Macaca fascicularis: one gene and its partners. The protein of the gene in region 4 purifies or fractionates together with the protein of the main gene of each other region. This does not show direct contact. Links are inferred from orthologs where the notes say so. Each region holds a gene or a part of one and is shown on either strand. Other genes may lie near its edges.

Evidence for each region. Proteins that work in one complex are often made in the same cells at the same time.
Region 1: the proteins of AMBRA1 (region 4) and STUB1 purify together in Homo sapiens (affinity purification with mass spectrometry, with the first as the bait; 3 studies listed by BioGRID). This does not show direct contact. The link is inferred for Macaca fascicularis from reciprocal best matches to the Homo sapiens genes AMBRA1 and STUB1.
Region 2: the proteins of AMBRA1 (region 4) and NEK9 purify together in Homo sapiens (affinity purification with mass spectrometry; 3 studies listed by BioGRID and IntAct, with this or other methods). This does not show direct contact. The link is inferred for Macaca fascicularis from reciprocal best matches to the Homo sapiens genes AMBRA1 and NEK9.
Region 3: the proteins of AMBRA1 (region 4) and DNAJB1 purify together in Homo sapiens (affinity purification with mass spectrometry, with the first as the bait; 3 studies listed by BioGRID). This does not show direct contact. The link is inferred for Macaca fascicularis from reciprocal best matches to the Homo sapiens genes AMBRA1 and DNAJB1.

What each region holds. Positions count from the first base shown.
Region 1 is NC_088394.1:1,434,275-1,438,781, reverse strand, and holds STUB1 (E3 ubiquitin-protein ligase CHIP), read right to left. Parts: upstream 3,034-4,507; 5' UTR 2,912-3,033; coding exon 2,753-2,911; intron 2,409-2,752; exon of another isoform or gene 2,267-2,408; coding exon 2,068-2,266; intron 1,981-2,067; coding exon 1,815-1,980; intron 1,762-1,814; exon of another isoform or gene 1,623-1,761; coding exon 1,535-1,622; exon of another isoform or gene 1,396-1,534; coding exon 1,339-1,395; exon of another isoform or gene 1,252-1,338; coding exon 928-1,251; 3' UTR 668-927; downstream 1-667. UniProt on the Homo sapiens protein: E3 ubiquitin-protein ligase which targets misfolded chaperone substrates towards proteasomal degradation.
Region 2 is NC_088381.1:143,073,964-143,078,650, reverse strand, and holds the start of NEK9 (serine/threonine-protein kinase Nek9), read left to right. Parts: upstream 1-1,654; 5' UTR 1,655-1,795; coding exon 1,796-2,014; exon of another isoform or gene 2,015-2,952; intron 2,953-4,479; coding exon 4,480-4,657; intron 4,658-4,687.
Region 3 is NC_088393.1:14,953,129-14,957,628, reverse strand, and holds the start of DNAJB1 (dnaJ homolog subfamily B member 1), read left to right. Parts: upstream 1-1,467; 5' UTR 1,468-1,513; coding exon 1,514-1,724; exon of another isoform or gene 1,725-2,241; intron 2,242-2,811; coding exon 2,812-3,392; intron 3,393-3,690; coding exon 3,691-3,921; 3' UTR 3,922-4,500. UniProt on the Homo sapiens protein: Interacts with HSP70 and can stimulate its ATPase activity. Stimulates the association between HSC70 and HIP. Negatively regulates heat shock-induced HSF1 transcriptional activity during the attenuation and recovery phase period of the heat shock response.
Region 4 is NC_088388.1:19,259,143-19,263,897, forward strand, and holds the start of AMBRA1 (activating molecule in BECN1-regulated autophagy protein 1), read left to right. Parts: upstream 1-1,754; 5' UTR 1,755-1,840; exon of another isoform or gene 1,841-1,944; intron 1,945-1,999; exon of another isoform or gene 2,000-2,153; intron 2,154-4,755. UniProt on the Homo sapiens protein: Substrate-recognition component of a DCX (DDB1-CUL4-X-box) E3 ubiquitin-protein ligase complex involved in cell cycle control and autophagy.

The DNA.
Region 1 (4,507 bases), on a different chromosome or scaffold from region 4:
CTTCACCGAGTGGGCCTCTCTCTTTCGGCACTACTCCCCACCCCCATTTGGCCTGCTGGGAACCGCTCCAGCTTACAGCTTTGGAATCGCAGGTGAACGCTGCTCAGGACTGGGGAGGAGTGAGGCTTCTGAGGGTGGGTACAAAATGGCTTGGTCACCAGGTGCTCATAACCCCACAGGAGCTGGCTCGGGGGTGCCCTTCCACTGGCATGGGCCCGGGTACTCGGAGGTGATCTACGGCCGTAAGGTCAGCACAGGGTTGGGGTTGAGCCTTGGGGCTCGGTGACCAAAACAGGCAAGGGTGACGCTGCTGCTCCTGCCCCCAGCGCTGGTTCCTCTACCCACCTGAGAAGACACCAGAGTTCCACCCCAACAAGACCACGCTGGCCTGGCTCCGGGACACATATCCAGCCCTGCCACCGTCTGCACGGCCCCTGGAGTGTACCATCCGGGCTGGTGAGGTCAGTGGCTGGCAGGAGAGGGCCAGGCCAGGCCAGAGGCCCCCAGCTAATCTGTGCTGCACCCCTTTTCTCCACCAGGTGCTGTACTTCCCTGACCGCTGGTGGCATGCCACACTCAACCTTGACACCAGCGTCTTCATCTCCACCTTCCTCGGCTAGCCAAAGCAGCTGGCAGGCATGCCTGCCACACACCAGCACGTCCCATCTCGTGCTCATGGATTTTATTACACAGACAGTGTCGGCAGTGGCTTCAGCCCAGCCCACCCTCACCTGCTTTTCCAGCCCACAAAGGGGGACAATCATGGCCCAGCAAGAGCTATGCTGAGAGGGGGAATAGTCCAGAGCCCAACAGCAGAACTTGAACTTGGAAGGGGCCAGGGTGGCCAGCAACACAAACTATGTACAGGGGTGGAGGGCTTCCGCCCAGGGCTCTCCTGGACCAGGATGCTGGGCAGGGCAAGGCATCTCAGTAGTCCTCCACCCAGCCATTCTCAGAGATGAATGCGTCAATGACTTCCTTCATGGCCAGGTTGGGGATGAGCTGTTCCTGGGTCAGGGGGCTCCGGGTCACGGGGTCAAAATGACCCACGCGCTGCAGTGACAAGAAGGGCAGAGGGCAGTCAGTGGGCCCAGGACCATGCTGCTGGCCCTGCTCCCCCAGCCGCAGCCTCACCTGCAGGTGCTCCTCGATGTCCTTGCGGTCGTAGGTGATGCCACTGGGCGTGATGCACGGCTCCCGCATCAGCTCAAAGCTGATCTTACCACACAGGTAGTCGGGGATGTCACGCTTCTGTGGCACAGGGGCACACGATCAGAGGCTGGGAAGGGGCACTGCTCCAGCACCTGCCACCCACCGCAGCAAGTGACAGACACTCACCTTCCTCTTCTCGTCCACCTGAGAGAAGAGCTCGTCCATGTCTGCCATGTACTTGTCCTGTGAAGAGTTGAGCACTGCACTTGTGCGGGACACCCCACCTCCCTCCTCCATGGGGCACAGACCCAACACAAGGCGGGGATGCTCCCACGCCAGGTGCACACACACAGACCCACATGTGGGAGGGGGGCACCCTCACATGCTTAGCCTCAATGCAGGCCTGCTGGGCCCGGACGTGGCTGTCGTCCTCATCACCCTCGTGGTTCCGCTGGCACTCTTCCAGCTCCCTGGGGGTTGACCAGGAGCCAGTAAGAGATGGACCTGGCCAGATGTCTGACCACACCCCAACCTCAGGGCTAACATTCATGCTTCTTCCCCACGTTTTCTGCTCGCCAGTAAAACCTTCAATAAACGCTCATGTTGGTAGTTGGTGATTCAGAATTACCCCAAGACAGGGCGACCTGGGGTGAGGGTCCCACCTCTCACGCTCCGCGGCAATGAGCCTGGAGAGGTAGGAGTGCAGCTCGCTCTCCTGGTGGATGCGCCGCTCCTCGATGCTATTCCAGCGCTTCTTCTTCGCGATTCGAAGAGCGCTGGGGATGTCGTCCCCGAAGTTCAGCCGCTGCTCCTTGGCCAGGCTGTAAGCTGGGGAACGGGGGCTTCAGGTCACTCTCTGGCCAGTCCACCCGCCTGGCCCCAGGGGCCCCACAACCGGGCAGCTTGTCAGCCAACCTCGCTGCAGATTGGCGATGGCCTCATCATAGCTCTCCATCTCCAGCTGGCACTGCCCCAGGAAGAAGTGCGCCTTCACAGACTGCCCGTCCAGTTCCAGGGCGCGCCGGCAGTCGGCCAGGGCCTGCTCGTGCTGCTGCATCTTCAGGTAGCACAGGGCACGGTTGGTGTAATATACGGCCACCAGCGGGTTCCGGGTCTAGGGACCAAGGCCGGGCCAGCCGCATGAGGGTGTAGGCTCAGCGCGCCCCCTCTGTCCCACGGCCCGTCCCAGCTTCTGCGCTCTGGCTAGAATCAAGAAACTAGGCTTCTCAGTCGTCAAAGCCCCTGGATCCAAGGATCTGCAGACAGTGGAGTACTGGCTGAGCCTATCCGCTTGACTCCACTTGGTTTTGTAAAGTTTTCCAAATCTTTGGAGAGTCCAGGCTTTGGACCTGGGAGCCTCAAGGGGCGAGGGCCCCTGCCCTCCCCCCGACCCGGCCGGCCTCCATCCAGCATCCCACCCTCGTTCTCCGACACCCGGCGCTGGGCTCGGGAACCACGGCTGGGCTTTAGGAGCCCAGGACATGCCCCGCAGAGGAACCAGACCCTCGGTGGGGCCAGCCGGGCACGGGCCCGGCCCTCCCCGGCGCCGCCGCCGCCGCCGCCGCCGCCGCCGCCGCCCTTCCCGCGCGAGCGCACTCACGATCGCGCGGCCGTAGCAGGCCGCCGCCTCCGGGTACTTTCGGCCCACGAACAGACGGTTGCCCTGCTCCTTGAGCTCCTGCGCACTCGGGCTCTTCTCGGGGCTTCCGCCGCCAGCGCCCAGCCGCGCGCCGCCCTCCTTCTCCTCCTTGCCCTTCATGGCGCCGCGCGGCACGGCCTGGGCTGCGCTCCCAAGCTCCGCGCCTGGCGGCCCAGCGCCTGCAGCCCGAGCCCCGCAGCCCGAACCCGCGATCCTCTCGGGCCCGGCCCAGCTCCACCGCCGGAACTTCCGGCCGGGGGCGGGACCAGCGGGGACGCACGGGTGGGGGCGAGTGGGGCCGCGCGTGCGCCCAATCAGCCTGGACGGGGACGCTAGGCCCGCGGCGTCGGGGGCTGGGAGGAACACTCCGGTTCCCTCGCTCGGCGCTCTTAAGGGTCGGCGTTCGCGGAGGCCCTGGCCCGCCCTGCTGAGGCCTCTTCGGAACCGGCCTCGGCGGCGACCGCCACACACATTCGACTTTCCCAGTGAGATGCCTTGGTTCGCTGAGGGCGCACTCCCCCAACAGCCTGTCCCGACCACCTGGCGTTCCGCCCCCGCCGCAACGCGCAGAGACCCCTCCCCAAGCAGCGGGCCCCATCCAGAGGCCCTTCCCCCGGCAGCCAGCCCCGCCCCCAGCAGCCCGCCCCATCGGCAGACGCCCCGCCCCCAACAGGCCGCCCCACCCAGAGGCCCCGCCCCCAGCAGCCAGCCCCTACGCAGAAGCCCCGCCCCCAGCAGCCGGCCCCGCCCCCGGCAGCCGGCCCCGCCCCTCCGCGTGAACATAGTGGCTTCCCGCGCTGTTGGGTGTAAGGACCGCAGTCGCTGGGCCGCCATTCCGGAGCGCCATCGAGAGGTCCTACGGGTGCGCGCGGACCCCCGAGTGCGGCTGGAAGCCCTGGGCCGTTGGTAGAGTGGAAGGGGATAAAGGGATCGGTGGGCGAGCGTACCCTGTGGCCGGACCTCCCCTCACCGCCCTTCCCCAGGTATCGGGAGGAGTTGCCAGCGGCCATCAGGGGCAGAGCGGAGAGCATGTGACAGGGAGCTGGAGCGGCTGCTGGCCTGGAAGCTGGCGGCGAGGTGCGGCCCGCCTCGAGGGCGGGGCCTCCGTAGGGCGGGTCTTCATCGGGGCGTGGCATCGGCGGGGCGGGGCCTCCAGAGCGGGTCTTCGTGGGGGCGGGGCCTCCCTGTGGGTCCACCACGCCGGGCACCCTGACCTGGCTTCTCACAGCATCTGGTGACCACCAATCCCCCTGAGCTGGCTGTGCACTGTTCGACCACCACCTTCTGCCTCCTGCCAGATGTGGGGGCCGCGGTCACCCAGCTGTCTGCCCTCTGCGGTGTGGACCCACCACAGTCACAGCCTCAGGTGAGTTGGGTGGGCACGACTTGGGTACATAAGCGTCCTTGTCTGTGAAGCAGACAGTCTGGGCCCTTGTGTGTCTCTAGGACCAGGAGTCGGAGCCAGAGCTTGTCCTGATGGGGTGTCTGGCTGCTTCTCCTCGCTGCTCACAGCAGTCCTGGTGCCTGGAGCTCGAGATGGAGGCCTTCATGTCAGATGAGGCAGTGGTCACAGTGCCCGGCCTGCCGGCCCCACAGTACACCCTCAGGTACTACCTGCTGTACCTGGGCCAGGTTCAAGAGTGGGCCACAGCTCTGAGCCAAGGTGAACGAACTGTGTGTGGGCAGGCTGGGGTGGCCCGTGCCCCTGGGCCTGAG
Region 2 (4,687 bases), on a different chromosome or scaffold from region 4:
ATTTTTATGTATTTATTTGAGACAGGTTCTCGCTCTGTTACCCAGGCTCAAGTGCAGTGGCATGATCTTGGCTCACTGCAACCTCCGCCTCCCCGGTTCAAGCAATTCTTGTGTCTCAGCATCCCAAGTAGCTGGGATTACAGGTGTGTGCACACCCGCTAATTTTTGTATTTTTAGTGGAAACAGGGTTTCACCATGTGGGCCAGGCTGGAATCGAACTCCAGGCTTCAAGTGATCGACCCACCTCGGCCTCCCAGAGTGCTGGGATTACAGGCGTGAGCCACCACACCCGGCTAGTCACATGGCTTTCTCTTAGCCCCATCACGTCCTGCTTTTTCAGATTGCTGGGTTTAACTTCCCAGCTCCCTCTTACTAGGTCTGTCACATTAAGCAGGTAACTTAGGTGACTCTGTTTCTGTAAAATGGGAATGTTAGGATAATACATAATACACAGGATAATACATAATAATGTGGGATAATACGTGAAAAACCTTTAGCATAGTACCCAGAACATAACACTCAATAAATGTTAGCTGTTATGTCTGTGATGTAGACCATATTCTCACAACTTTTTATAGAGTTCAAAAACAAGCTTGGAGATGAGAAGTTGCCCAAGGTCACATAACTGATGGAACACCTATTGTTCACCGTATTGCTGTTTTCCTACTTGACGGTAGGGAGCATGTTATTGCAGATCTCCTGTTCCCAAACAGTGTGTGGCACCGAATGCTCAATGTTTCATGAGATCATATGGTCAAAGATCTGGAAAAATCTGAATAAACTGAACCTGGAAAAAGAGACGGGGGAGAAGGAAAGTGTCAGGAAAGTTGACTTAAAATATTTTTGGAGTTGTGTAGAAGAGGGAGGGACTTAGGATGGCTCTGGGAGAAAGAACTGGAACCAGGGACTGAGATGACAGGAGGCGGACATTTAGGCTGTCTATATTACTTTTTTTTTTTTTTTTTTTTGAGACAAAGTCTTGCTCTGTCATCCAGGCTGGAGTGTAGTGGCGCGATCTCGGGTCGCTACAACCTCCTCCTTCCATTCAATTGATTCTCCAGCCTCAGCCTCTCAAGTAGCTGGGATTACAGGTGCCTGCCACCACGCCTGGATAATTTTTGTATTTTTATAGAGACGCGGTTTCACCAGTTGGCCAGGCTGGTCTCAAACGCCTGACCTCAGGTGATCCGCCCACCTCGGCCTCCTAACATGCTGAGATTACAGGCGTAAGCCACCTTGTCCGGCCATATTATCTTTACTATACTATCTTTCTAAAAAAGAATGCTGTCCAACGTTGAAAGGTGAAAGAAGGTGTACACTGGGAATGCTTCCCCAATCACCCTCTTGTCACAGACCTGAGGTCAAGATGAGACTGGACGACCTCTGAACCTCGAAGTTGTATGGGGACCGGACCAGGGAGGCAGAGGAGGGTAAAGAGACCCGAGAGGCCGTACTGTCAGTGATGCCCTTGTTCCCGTGGGAGCCCTTCGGTTCCACGCAGTTCCCACCACGCGCCCGCCAATCCCAGCCCGAAGCCTCACTTAGCAGGCCTTCCCCGAAAGCGGGAAGCCTTGGCCGCTAGACTAGCCAAGCTGGCAAGCAAAGGCGGGGGAAACTCAGCCGGGCCGGAAACACAGAGAACTGCTTCCGGGTCAGGGGGAAGGAGCCACCATGGAGCTTCGCGGGGTTGCTGGGCTGACGGTTCCGCGGGCCGGCATCTGAAGCGAGCGGGACGCAGCGCGGCTAGCGCCTCCGGCCATACGCAGGCCGGTCCCGAAGGCCCGCGGTCGCCGCCATGTCGGTGCTGGGCGAGTACGAACGACACTGCGATTCCATCAACTCGGACTTTGGGAGCGAGTCCGGGGGTTGCGGGGACTCGAGTCCGGGGCCTAGCGCTAGTCAGGGGCCGCGAGCCGGCGGCGGCGCGGCGGAGCAGGAGGAGCTGCACTACATCCCTATCCGCGTCCTGGGCCGCGGCGCCTTCGGGGAAGCCACGCTGTACCGCCGCACCGAGGTAGCGGCCCTCGGCACCTGCCGTCCTGTCTGGCGCTGTCGGGTCGCCCCGAGTCCTTTCTTCCCGGCCCCGCTTTCTCAGCGTCGTGAGCTTAGTGCTTTAGGCGCCCACAGGATATATGTGTCAGGGTCTTCACCGCTCTTCCCACTCATCGGCACTAGAAATTGGCAAGATCATTGGTTTGACTAGTCATTTTTGATTGGCCTAAGTCACCTAACCGTCTCTGAGCTTTAGCATCCCCATCTGTAAAATGGGCTTACTGATAATACCTTGAAATCATCCTTTTTTTTTTTTAAGATTATCTTGAGAATGAAACGAAGGCGCTTGTTCTGTAAATTAAAGTGGTATACGAATGTGAGGTATTGCCAAAACTTCCTTCCCCTCATGCTGTATATATAGTTCTCCAAGGTCGGGGTGAGGAGGACGGGCATAGCTTCAAAATCCCCACACCGGTGGCACCTCCGTAGTTTGTGTCATTATCTTTAAGTTCAGCTGTGATCACTCAGTTGGAAGCTTTTCTTGAAGCTCATTGGGAAGATCTTTGTGTGTTGGTTCTTTATCAGTGTTTATCCTACAGGGTTTATGCATGGGAAGTACTCTGTTGGTATATTCTAAGCCATTAGTTCTTAATTTGGGGGGCACAAGGACCCCTTTGAGAACCTAACATAAGCAAAGTAATCTTACCCCCTCCATCAACACATTTGCACATAGGCACATCCTTTGGAGAGATCCATGGATCACGGAATCCCAAGTTAAGAATATATACTAGTGTAAAACCCTGCAGTGATGATTCTACTTCCAAAAACTAACGATATACTGGTTTTGATCATAAAATCTTACTTTAGGGTAAACATTTAATGAGAACTTGCTGGGGTTGCCGAAAGTGATCCATCCATCTGCAGTTCTGGTGTGTGTTCCAAGCCAGCATACTTTTAAGGCTGAAAGATGGAGAAGGAGAGAAGTGGTTGCAAGAAAATATTTTTAAGTGTTCTTTTTTATCCTGAAGCCACGTTAATGTATGATGTTAGGGTTATTCTTAGTAGTCTGTTTTCTTTTTTGCACTCAAATGAGAAAGAGGAGATAAGGATTGTTATTTCTATATTTTAGTTAGAGAAACTAAGACAGTATACTTAAGTCACTTGCTCACTTAAGTTATAAGTAAATCTTGGACTAGAACTAAAGTCTCACATCTTGCCCATTGCCTTTTTATTATTATCCTGTTGAACTTGATTACTGGATTTGTTTTGAGTTAAATTTGATTACACTTCTCAAAAATTGCATAGCGTTATCCATATCACCAAATATTTATTAGGTCTGTGAATTTACAGAAGTTCAGAAGCACTCTTTTCCTCTAGAAGCTTATATTTCAATAGGAAAAGTTGGCCATTGTTAGTAAACACATAGCATTAAGTTGTATATGTAGAGATATGAAAAGAATGGACAAATATTTCAGTGTATGGGGTCTAAAAATTAAAGGCATGGTTACAGTAAAAGGTTCATCAGAGTCTTTTCAAAAACATTGTAAAGGCTTGGCAGAGGCATTCAAAAGGATGGGGAGGGTTACATTGGTGGAGATGCTCCTGGGCTGGGAAGCAGTGTCAGCAAAAAATGAGGCCAGGCACAGTGGCTCATGCCTGTAATCCCAACACCTGGGAGGCCAAGGTGGTCAGGTCGCTTGAGGCCAGGAGTTCTAGACCAGCCTGGGCAACACAGTGATACTCCATCTCTTAAAAAAAAAAAAAAAAAAAAAAAAAATTTAGCTGAGTGTGGCAGTGCAATGCCTGTAGTCCTAACTACTGGGGAAGCTGAGGTAGGAGGATTGCTTCAGCCCAGGAGTTCAGAGCAGAAATGAGCTATGACTGCACTCTATCTCAAAAAAAAAAAAAGATGGTAGACATCAGGAGCTACAGGTAAGTTTTCAGGAATGGAAGAAAATGTGATACATAAAAGTGTGAGAGATTATAGAGTTGCAAAAGGGGGCATGACTTATCCAGAAAGGGTAAGTCTAAATTTATAAAACTAGGGAAGTCTAAATTTATAAAACTAGAGGCAAGTTTAGTATTTTCATTTTAGAAGCTGTGACCAACTATAGATAATTGCTCCCCAGTTCTCTACCTCTCAAGTATTCTTGCCCTGCCATAATCACCATCATGATTAGCAGTCTGTCATAGTATCCTCAATAGAATCTTTTTGAGACCTATGCCCAGCCCATATTTTTACCTGGAACTGACATCATGCAAATTGAGTGTGACGACGACGTCGTAATGCTTTACTTCCCCTGTCCTGTGATAAATTATAATGCTAAATTGTACACATAACCTTTGAAGTCTGTTAAAAGGAAAAAATAAGAGGAGTCAGTCTCTGCTCCTCTTAGGTAGTTTTGCTTCTAGGCTTACAAATCTAGGTGTGGATTCATTTGCTGCCAGGCAAGAGGAAAAGCACGATACCTCTGTTACTGTGTTTAGGATGACTCACTGGTTGTGTGGAAGGAAGTTGATTTGACCCGGCTGTCTGAGAAGGAACGTCGTGATGCCTTGAATGAGATTGTTATTCTGGCACTGCTGCAGCATGACAACATTATTGCCTACTACAATCACTTCATGGACAATACCACCCTGCTGATTGAGCTGGAATATTGTAATGGTAAGATAGAGTTCAGTGGGACCTTCTCCA
Region 3 (4,500 bases), on a different chromosome or scaffold from region 4:
GCTACTCGGGAGGCTGAGGCCGGAGAATGGCGTGAACCCGGGAGGCGGAGCTTGCAGTGAGCTGAGATCCGGCCACTGCACTCCAGCCTGGGCTACAGAGCGAGACTCCGTCTCAAAAAAAAAAAAAAAAAAAAAAAAAGAACGGGGAATATTTATGAGGTTCTCACTGCATTCCAGGCACTGGAGACCCAATGCAGACAGGACCTGGCCCCTGCTCAGGTGGCGATCTCAGACTGGGAGGGAGGACACATTGAAAGCCAAGAAACAAAATAAATTTCTAATTTAGCAGCAAGTGCTCTTGAAAGGGCAGTAAAGTGAAAAAGGCGGGACTGAGAGGACCTCGGGAGGTGAGCTTTCGCCCAGATCCTCACCTCGCTTTAGGAAGGGAGAACAGAGGCAGTCTTCTGTCCCAACATCCTTCTCCCCACAGTTGGGAAAATAGCGCTGGTGGATTCTTTGTTTGTTCATTTTGTTTTATTTTACTTATTTATTTATTTTATTTTGAGACGGAGTCTCGCTCTGTCGCCCAAGCTGGAGTGCAGTGCCCCGATCTCGGCCCACTGCAACCTCCGCCTCCCCGATTCAAGCTATTCTCAGGCCTCAGCCTCCTGAGTAGCTGGGATTACAGGTGCGTGCCACCACGCCCGGGTAATTTTTGTATTTTTAGCAGAGACGGGATTTCACCATGTTGGCTAGGCTGGTCTCGAACTCCTGACCTCAAGTGATCCGCCCACTTCGGCCTCCCAAAATGCTGGGATTACAGGCGTGAGCCCCCGCGCCCGGCCTGTTTGTTTATTTTAAAAAGAAACGGAGTCTGCTTATGTTGCCTAGGCTGGTCTCAAACTCCTAGGCCCGAGAGATTCTCCTGTCTTGGCCTCAGGAAGTGATGGAAATTACAGTCGTGAGGCTCCGTGTCAGGTTCTCTTATTGCCATATTGTAGAAAGAAAGAGACCCCTGGGTTAAGCAGACGCGGGTTAGGTTGTTCGTCCGGCGTCACCCGGCGGAGGCCCACCGCAGGTCCCGCGAGACAAGGGCTGGAAGGTTTATCACCTCCTGGGGAAAAGACAGGCTAGTCCCAGGCCCCACCCCTTCCCGGAACATCACCTTCGCGACGGCTCCTGACCCACTGACCCAGGCGGAGGGCGGGACGCAGGGTCGCTGGGGCGGTGCAGAGTGTGAAAGAAGCTCGCGATTGGCTCGTCCCGGAAGGTGGGCGGGGCCTCCTCCGACCTGTGCGCGCGCCGCCGGGAGGCGTTGTCGAGGGCGGAGCGGGAGGGGGCGTGGCCCCGCGCCGGCGGCCGTTGACGGCAAAGCGCCGCCCCGGATGTCGCGTGTCACGGAAAGGGTGGCGGCGATTGGCCGGCGCCGCGGGCGGGGGGGCGGGGCGGAAGGTTCTGGAGGGGGCTGGCGGGCTCTGGAAGCTTCCGCCGGACGGGTATATAGAGTCCGGGACCGGGCGGCGGCGTAGCCGGGGGACGGCGACAGCGGGTCGGCGGGCCGCAGCGGGGGGCCATGGGCAAAGACTACTATCAGACGCTGGGCCTGGCCCGCGGCGCGTCGGATGAGGAGATCAAGCGGGCCTACCGCCGCCAGGCGCTGCGCTACCACCCGGACAAGAACAAGGAGCCCGGCGCCGAGGAGAAGTTCAAGGAGATCGCCGAGGCCTACGACGTGCTCAGCGACCCGCGCAAGCGCGAGATCTTCGACCGCTACGGAGAGGAAGGTGTGTGCGCGCGGCCAGGGGCGCGGTCCCGCCGTTTGACAGGGAAACCGAGGCATACCGGCCCCTCTCGGCGGCCCCCCGGGAAGGACGCCCCGGGCCCGGGGGCCGAGCTGCCCCGCCCTCCGGCCGCTCGGGCCTCCGCCCTTGGATTGGCGGCCGTGCGGTGCGGGGAGGAGCCTTGGCCCAGCCGCTCGCCCAGAAGCTTCTAGCATGTCTAGGGCTGCCCCTCCCCGGGCGCCTCTTCCCGCGGCCCCGAGCAGCCCCGGGGTGCGGTGCAGGGGGGTGGGGGAGCCGGGGGTGACGACGGGAACGGCACGGCGGAGCCTGCTGCGGACCCGAGCTCACCTGGGCTTAGCCGCCGGGGTCCGCAGGGCGGCGCCTGCGGCTCAGCTGCGGGGCGCGGGGCTGTAAATGCAGGCGCCGATCCCGCTCGCGGGCCTTGGGGCTGGGCTGGGATGATTTCCGGGAAGTGATGACCTGGTCCCGGCCGAGCACGCAGGAGGCAGCGGCCGCCTAGGTGCGGAGAGCTGGGCCGCCTGGGGGTTTGGGGGGACGGAGAGTGGGGCTTTTTGTCCCTGTGCCCCTTGATGACTCAGGCTGGCTTCTGGGCTTGATCTGGGACTGACTTATTATGCAAGGATGGTGGCAGTGAATGCTAGTGTGAGGGTTTAAAAACTCTACATCTTTTTTTTTTCCTTATTTTCACTTTTCGTACACATCAGTAGTCCTAAAATGTTGAAAGTAAATACCGAAAGCCGACCCTGGACCGTGTGTGTTTAGCCATCCCTTGGTGACATTGCCAGGAGGATGGGTCAGTCCAGGAGTGGCAGGGCCCAGGTGGCACCTGTAGGTGGACACCTAACCGCATGAGTCCTTTTCCATTGTCAGGCTATGCGGAAGTACTTGGGGGGGGGGGCAGCTCTGCTGCTGCAGTGAGGGGTAGAAGCTTGGGGTTCTTCCTTGCTCTCCCCTGGCAGGCTAAAAAAAGTTCCTCCCCCATGGCCTCCAAGCTTTTTTCCCCCGTAAGGGAAGCTCGAGAGGGAGTCTGCTGTTCAGCCATCTGACTGCTTCTAATTCTGCTTTTCAGGCCTAAAGGGCAGTGGCCCCAGTGGCGGTAGCGGCAGTGGTGCCAATGGTACCTCTTTCAGCTACACGTTCCATGGAGACCCTCATGCCATGTTTGCTGAGTTCTTCGGTGGCAGAAATCCCTTTGACACCTTTTTTGGGCAGCGGAACGGGGAGGAAGGCATGGACATTGATGACCCGTTCTCTGGCTTCCCTATGGGCATGGGTGGCTTCACCAACGTGAACTTTGGCCGCTCCCGCCCTTCCCAAGAGCCCACCCGAAAGAAGCAAGATCCCCCAGTCACCCACGACCTTCGAGTCTCCCTTGAAGAGATCTACAGCGGTTGTACCAAGAAGATGAAAATCTCCCACAAGCGGCTAAACCCCGACGGAAAGAGCATTCGAAACGAAGACAAAATCTTGACCATCGAAGTGAAGAAGGGGTGGAAAGAAGGGACCAAAATCACCTTCCCCAAGGAAGGAGACCAGACCTCCAACAACATTCCAGCTGATATCGTCTTTGTTTTAAAGGACAAGCCACACAATATCTTTAAGAGAGATGGCTCTGATGTGATTTATCCTGCCAGGATCAGCCTCCGGGAGGTAAGGTGCCAGGTGGGGCGGTGTCTGCAGAGCGCGATGGCTGCTCTTTGAAGCAGTTTATTTAGGTTTTGCTGAACACGCATTGGGTGTGTGGCGCTTGCCAGGCTTGGGGCACCACAGTGAACAGGACTGATCAGGGTGCTGTTCTGGAGCTTTCATGGTGGAGACATGTCGATTTGGGGGCCAGGTGTTGGCTGCAGAGGCCTGATGAGTCTTACTCTATGCCAGATGGTCTCCGGGCAAGAGCTGAGCCTCTTGAGCCAGCTTCCATCTAATGCTTATCCCTTTGCTTTTCAAGGCTCTGTGTGGCTGCACAGTGAACGTCCCCACTCTGGACGGCAGGACCATACCCGTCGTATTCAAAGATGTCATCAGGCCTGGCATGCGCCGAAAAGTTCCTGGAGAAGGCCTCCCCCTCCCCAAAACGCCCGAGAAACGTGGGGACCTCATTATTGAATTTGAAGTGATCTTCCCCGAAAGGATTCCCCAGACATCAAGAACCGTACTTGAGCAGGTCCTTCCAATATAGCTGCCAGAGCTCCGACTGACCAGGGACCTTTCCAGAGCTCAAGGATTTCTGGACCTTTCTACCAATTGTGGACCATGGGAGGGCCCAGGGAGGACTTTCATACTGCTGAATGTTTTCCAGAGCATATATTACAATCTTTCAAAGTCGTACACTAGACTAAAGTGGTTTTTCGAGCGATAGGGCATCAGGTGGTGGGAACAGCAGGAAAAGGCATTCCAGTCTGCCCCACTGGGTCCGGCAGCCCTCCCGGGATGGGCCCACATCCTCCTCCTCCAGTCCCTGTCCAGGGGTAGAGGCAGACCAGCAGCTGGACTTGATCCCTCTGTGTCCCTTTGCTTTTGACTGGTAGATAATGTCGACCTGCTGTCTTGGTTCCCAGACCCTGTACACTCCTCTGTTTTCTGTTGTGTGATCAGTTCGTGGTTTATTCTGTATTTGTCTCCCATGTCTTGCTCTTCCCCTGGAGAATTCTGTCCTCTCTTTGGCCATCTCAAATTGAGAACCTAAACTATTCCTGCAGAACTGCCTGGCTGGCGCCCACAAGCAATACCTCTTGTTCCAGCAGGACCAAGGGAACCA
Region 4 (4,755 bases):
AGACGGGGTTTCACTGTGTTAGCCAGGATGGTCTCAATCTCCTGACCTAATGATCTGCCCACCTCGGCCTCCCAAAGTGCTGGGATTAAAGGCATGAGCCACTGCGCCCGGCCTGGCCAGTATTTTCAAAGACTTAGAGGAGATTTTTGTAAAGTGGCAATACATTATTTTAAAAAGGCTCATACTGTAAGGATGTGCTCTTTGATTTTAAAGTCTTTAAAGGCTGGAACTTTTTTTTTTTTTTTTTTTTTTTTTTGAGACGGAGTCTTGCTCTGTCACCCAGGCTGGAGTGCAGTGGCACGATCTCTGCTGACTGCAACATCCACCTCCCGGGTTCAAGCGATTCTGCTGCCCCAGCCTCCCGAATAGCTGGGATTACAGGCGCCCACCACCACACCCGGCTAATTTTTGTATTTTTAGTAGACACGGGGTTTCAGCATCTTGACCAGGCTGGTCTCAAACTCCTGACCTCGTGATCAACCTGCCTCGGCCTCCCAAAGTGCTGGGATTACAGGCGTGAGTCACTGTGTCCGGCCTTTAAAAATTTTTTTTAGGCAGGGTCTTGTTCCATAGATCAGGCAATGGTATGATCATGGTTCATTGCAGCCTCCACCTCCTGGGCTCAGGATATCCTTTCATCTTAGCTTCCTGAGCAGCTGGGCCTACAGGCGGGAGCCACCAGGCCCGGCTAACTTTTTGTATTTTTTTTTTTTCGTAGAGGCTGGAGTCTCACCATGTTGCCCAGGCTGGTCTTGAACTCCTGGGCTCAAAGCAATCCACCAGCCTGGTCTCCTAAAGTGCTCGAATTATGGACGAGAGCCGCTGCGTCCGACCAAACTGGGACTATCTTGTTTCCTTTTTACACCCTTCCTAAGTAGTGGGGAAGGGTGTAAACCTCCCTAGGAGGATGTAAGGTAGACTATGATTGCGCACACTTGGTAACCATACTTGCAGTGATCTTTGTGATTTATTGAATCATACCTAGGATGTACATATTAATTCATATTTGTGCTGAGCATATTCATTTATCAACTAAGAGACTACAGGAAAAAGCCATTGTTGTAATGATGAAAATGTCAACACTTTATCAGGTTCTGAACCCAAAGAGACTTTTGCTTATTATGTAAGAAGCACACCTGTGGCTCTAGGCCTTTGGAAGAAAATAAAAGAGAAAAGCAATCCGTGTACTTTTCCCCCCACCCCCGCCTTATGGTCAGGCTACAAAATTCTGGGTTTTCCCAGCTTCTTTTGGTCATGCTTTGTGGGGGCTACACTGGAGCTTTTACGTAGACTGTTCATTTTGTTCCTCAGCCTGAATTCTCTCTCGTTTTCTTTCTCTACGATTTTTAATTCCCCTCACTGTTCTGTTAGGAAACCAAAGGTCAAATGAGGTTAAGTAATTTGCTCAATTGGGATAAAGAGTGTTGGGAGTCCATAAAACAGTCGTGGGGCTATAGACAACAAGTGTTATTGCGCTATGATTTGATCTTCAACACATTCACGAGAAACTACAGTTCTCTAAACAACCTTAACTGCCGGCGACCCACAGAAAATGGCAGAAGCGCAGGCTCTTTTTTACCCTGTGGCTTATGATCTGGGCTTGTTTATTTATGCCTCGGACAGGAGCCGGACCTTGAGTAGGAGTTGAGCTGCTTTTCGGCGCTCGGCTGCGGTTCCTTGAACGATTGCTTGGGCGTTCCTCCTTTGATGTCTGGGGCGTTCTTGTATTCGGTGATCTTTTGCGCCGTCTTCTTGCTTGATGTCTCCTGAGCGGCGGCGGCGCCGGGTTGAGGACTGAGTTATCCGCGAGGCCCCGCGCTCAAGCCGCCTTCTCCTGCCGGTCGGTAGAACGGACCCTTTGCTTTATTCGTGCCTCCTCCTTCTTTTTCCCTGTGGCTCAGCTTGTCCGCTGGACTGCAAACCGAGCTCCCGTCTGTCTTGCAGGTAGGCCCAGGAGGAGCCTGGGAGGCCCAGCCCGGCATCCTTCCGCCGCGGGGTTGAGAAGACCTTGGCGCCGGCGGGTGGGCAGGCGGGCCGGCCGCCGTGACACTGCCAGAGGAGGGGCTACCGGACTGCGTTGAGGGGCGCGGCCGGAGGGGCAGCCCGGAACCGAGGGAGAAGCCGGAAGGAGGGAGAGATGCTGGGGCTTCCCGGTGTGGTTCTTTTGGGAGGAGATGTTGGGTCTAGGGCACCCCCAGTGTGTGGGGAAAATGGCTTTCCAGGAACCGACAGAGCTTTGCGCACTTTGACCTTCCTTCCTTTATCCTTTCCCCCCACCCCGAAGTCTCCGGGTGTCATGCCTCAGTTGAACTGGGGACCCCTACTGAGTCCAGCGTTTGAAGGGACCTTTGAGTAGGTGGAGGCGTATGGAACAAGGTCCTCTGGCTCCTCGGAGCGAAGTGTCATGTTCTCGCCTTTTTTGGGTGGGGAAACTGAGGCTGATGTCTGGGACGTGACTTCCCCCCATATCCCCAACAGATCATTAAATGCACTGTAAGTCACTTTTTGTCATTTACCAGTTCCCTTTCCCCCAGTTACCAGTCAAATTATGAAAACAGTGAGTTGTTGTTTGATCGCCTGTGATCCCTCTTTTCCTAGGAATATAGACTGTTAGGAATACAAATCGTGTCACTAGAGGCTTCAGAAGTAAAGGAACCATGTGGTTTCTTGGCTGTTTAGCTTTTCAAAGTCTGTATCATTTTAGCTAGTGTAGCAATGACAGTTTCTTTTTGTTTCTTGATAACCTTGTTGCCTACTTTGTTTCCTGATAACCTTGTTGTCTACATTGTTTCCTGGTTGGTTTATCCTCCTTCTCCCCAGCCTCTTTGGAAATCTTAACAACTATGGTGTTTGTGGTTAGTCTAGTAGAGGATGGTCAAGACTTTGAAGGCAAACGCTTGTCCTGTATGAGGGTCTGCTTTCTGGGGAGTATCCAAAGGAAACCCAAGGAGTCTCTCTCTCTCTCTCTTTTTTTTTTTAAGACAGTCTCGCTCTGTCGCCCAAACTGGAGTGCAGTGGCGCAATCTTGGCTTACTGCAACCTCTGCCTCCCGGGTTCAAGCGATTCCCCTGCCTCTGTCTCCTGACTAGCTGGAACTACAGGCGCGCGCCACCACACTCGGCTAATTTTTGTATTTGTAGTAAAGTGGGGTTTCATCACGTTGGCCAGGCTGGTCTTGAACTCCTGGGTTCAAGTGATTCGCTCACCTCGGCCTCTCAAAGTGCTGGAATTACAGGCATGAGCCACCGCGCCCGCCCAGTTTTGTTATATTTGATTACTAGTTTGGTCACTGCACATACAAAAGCTAAAAAAGGCTGTATGTAGAAATCATTCAAATATTGAGATATTTAAATGAAACTCCTTTGTGGTTCTCTTTTCCTTCCCAACTTGGAAAGGTTGGGGACTAAGTCTCTCATTTTCATCGGATTCAGTGTCATGATCCTAATTTGTGTCACTTCTTTGTTGGGGGAAAAAAAATATCAGCCTGCCGGGTGCAGTGGCTCACACCTGTAATCCCAGCATTTTGGGAGGGCAAGGCGGGTGGATCACCTGAGGTTGGGAGTTCGAGACCAGCCTGACCAATGTGGAGAAACCTAAAAATACAAAATTAGCCGGGCGTGGTGGTGCATGCCTGTAATCCCAGCTACTCGGGAGGGTAAGGCAGGAGAATCACTTGAATCCAGGAGGCAGAAGTTGCCATGAGCGAGATCACATCATTGCACTCCAGCCTGGGCAACAAGAGCCAAACTCTGTATCAAAAAAAAAAAAAAAAAAAAAAAAAAAAAAAAAAAAATCAGTCTTGAGGTCATTCTGGGTTGGATAAGTTTCCAAAGTATGTAGAATCAGTAGGAGGGTGTTTTTTGTTTGTTTGTTTGTTTGTTTGTTTTGAGACAGAGTCTTGCTTTGCCCCCCGGGCTGGAGTGCAGTGGCGCTATCTCAGCTCACTACGACCTCCTCCGCCTCCCAGGTTCAAGCAGTTCTCTGCCTCAGCATCCCGAGTAGCTGGGATTACAGGCACCACCACCACACCTGGCTAATTTTTTGTATTTTTAGTAGAGATGGGGTTTCACCATCTTGGCCAGGCTGGTCTTGAACCCCTGACCTCGTGATCCACCTGCTTTGGCCTCCCAAAGTGCTGGGATTACAGGCATGAGCCACCGCGCCCGGCCAAGAGAGTGGTTTTAAGGGTATAGAGATTCAGTTCCTAGTCCTTGAGTGGAGACTGTACAAGGCTACATTCTCCCACTATTTTAGTATTCTTGTATAAGTTTTGGAAAGATTACTGTTCCTTTAATTTTTTGTGTGAGGTCAGCAAGATTTAAATGAATGGCCCTTAATCATGAGCAATTTCCTAGTTACACGACCTCAGTGCTCCCAGAAAGGGATTAATGAAGAGCCACCAGACTATCTTTATGGAGAATCTAGATTGGGGATAAGCTAAGAATGTGCATTTTTGAAAAAGTTTTTATGGTAGAAGAGAATGTATATCAGATAAAAGAATGTAGAGAAGAAAGCAACATTGTCCACTGGGAATTGATAAGTTCTGTGTAGAATTTAGAGTTATAAAGAATATCTCATTGACTCCTAATGAATGCTAAATAACAAATGGAAATTGCTGTGAGTGTCTTGAAGCAATCTTAGGAATATTTTATTATGTTTCTGCAGGAAATAATTGGCAGAGGCTTAAGGTGAATTGAGGTCAAGAAATTTGGTGGTGTTGATGGGAGGTTACAGGGATAGAGCTTATCAACTTAA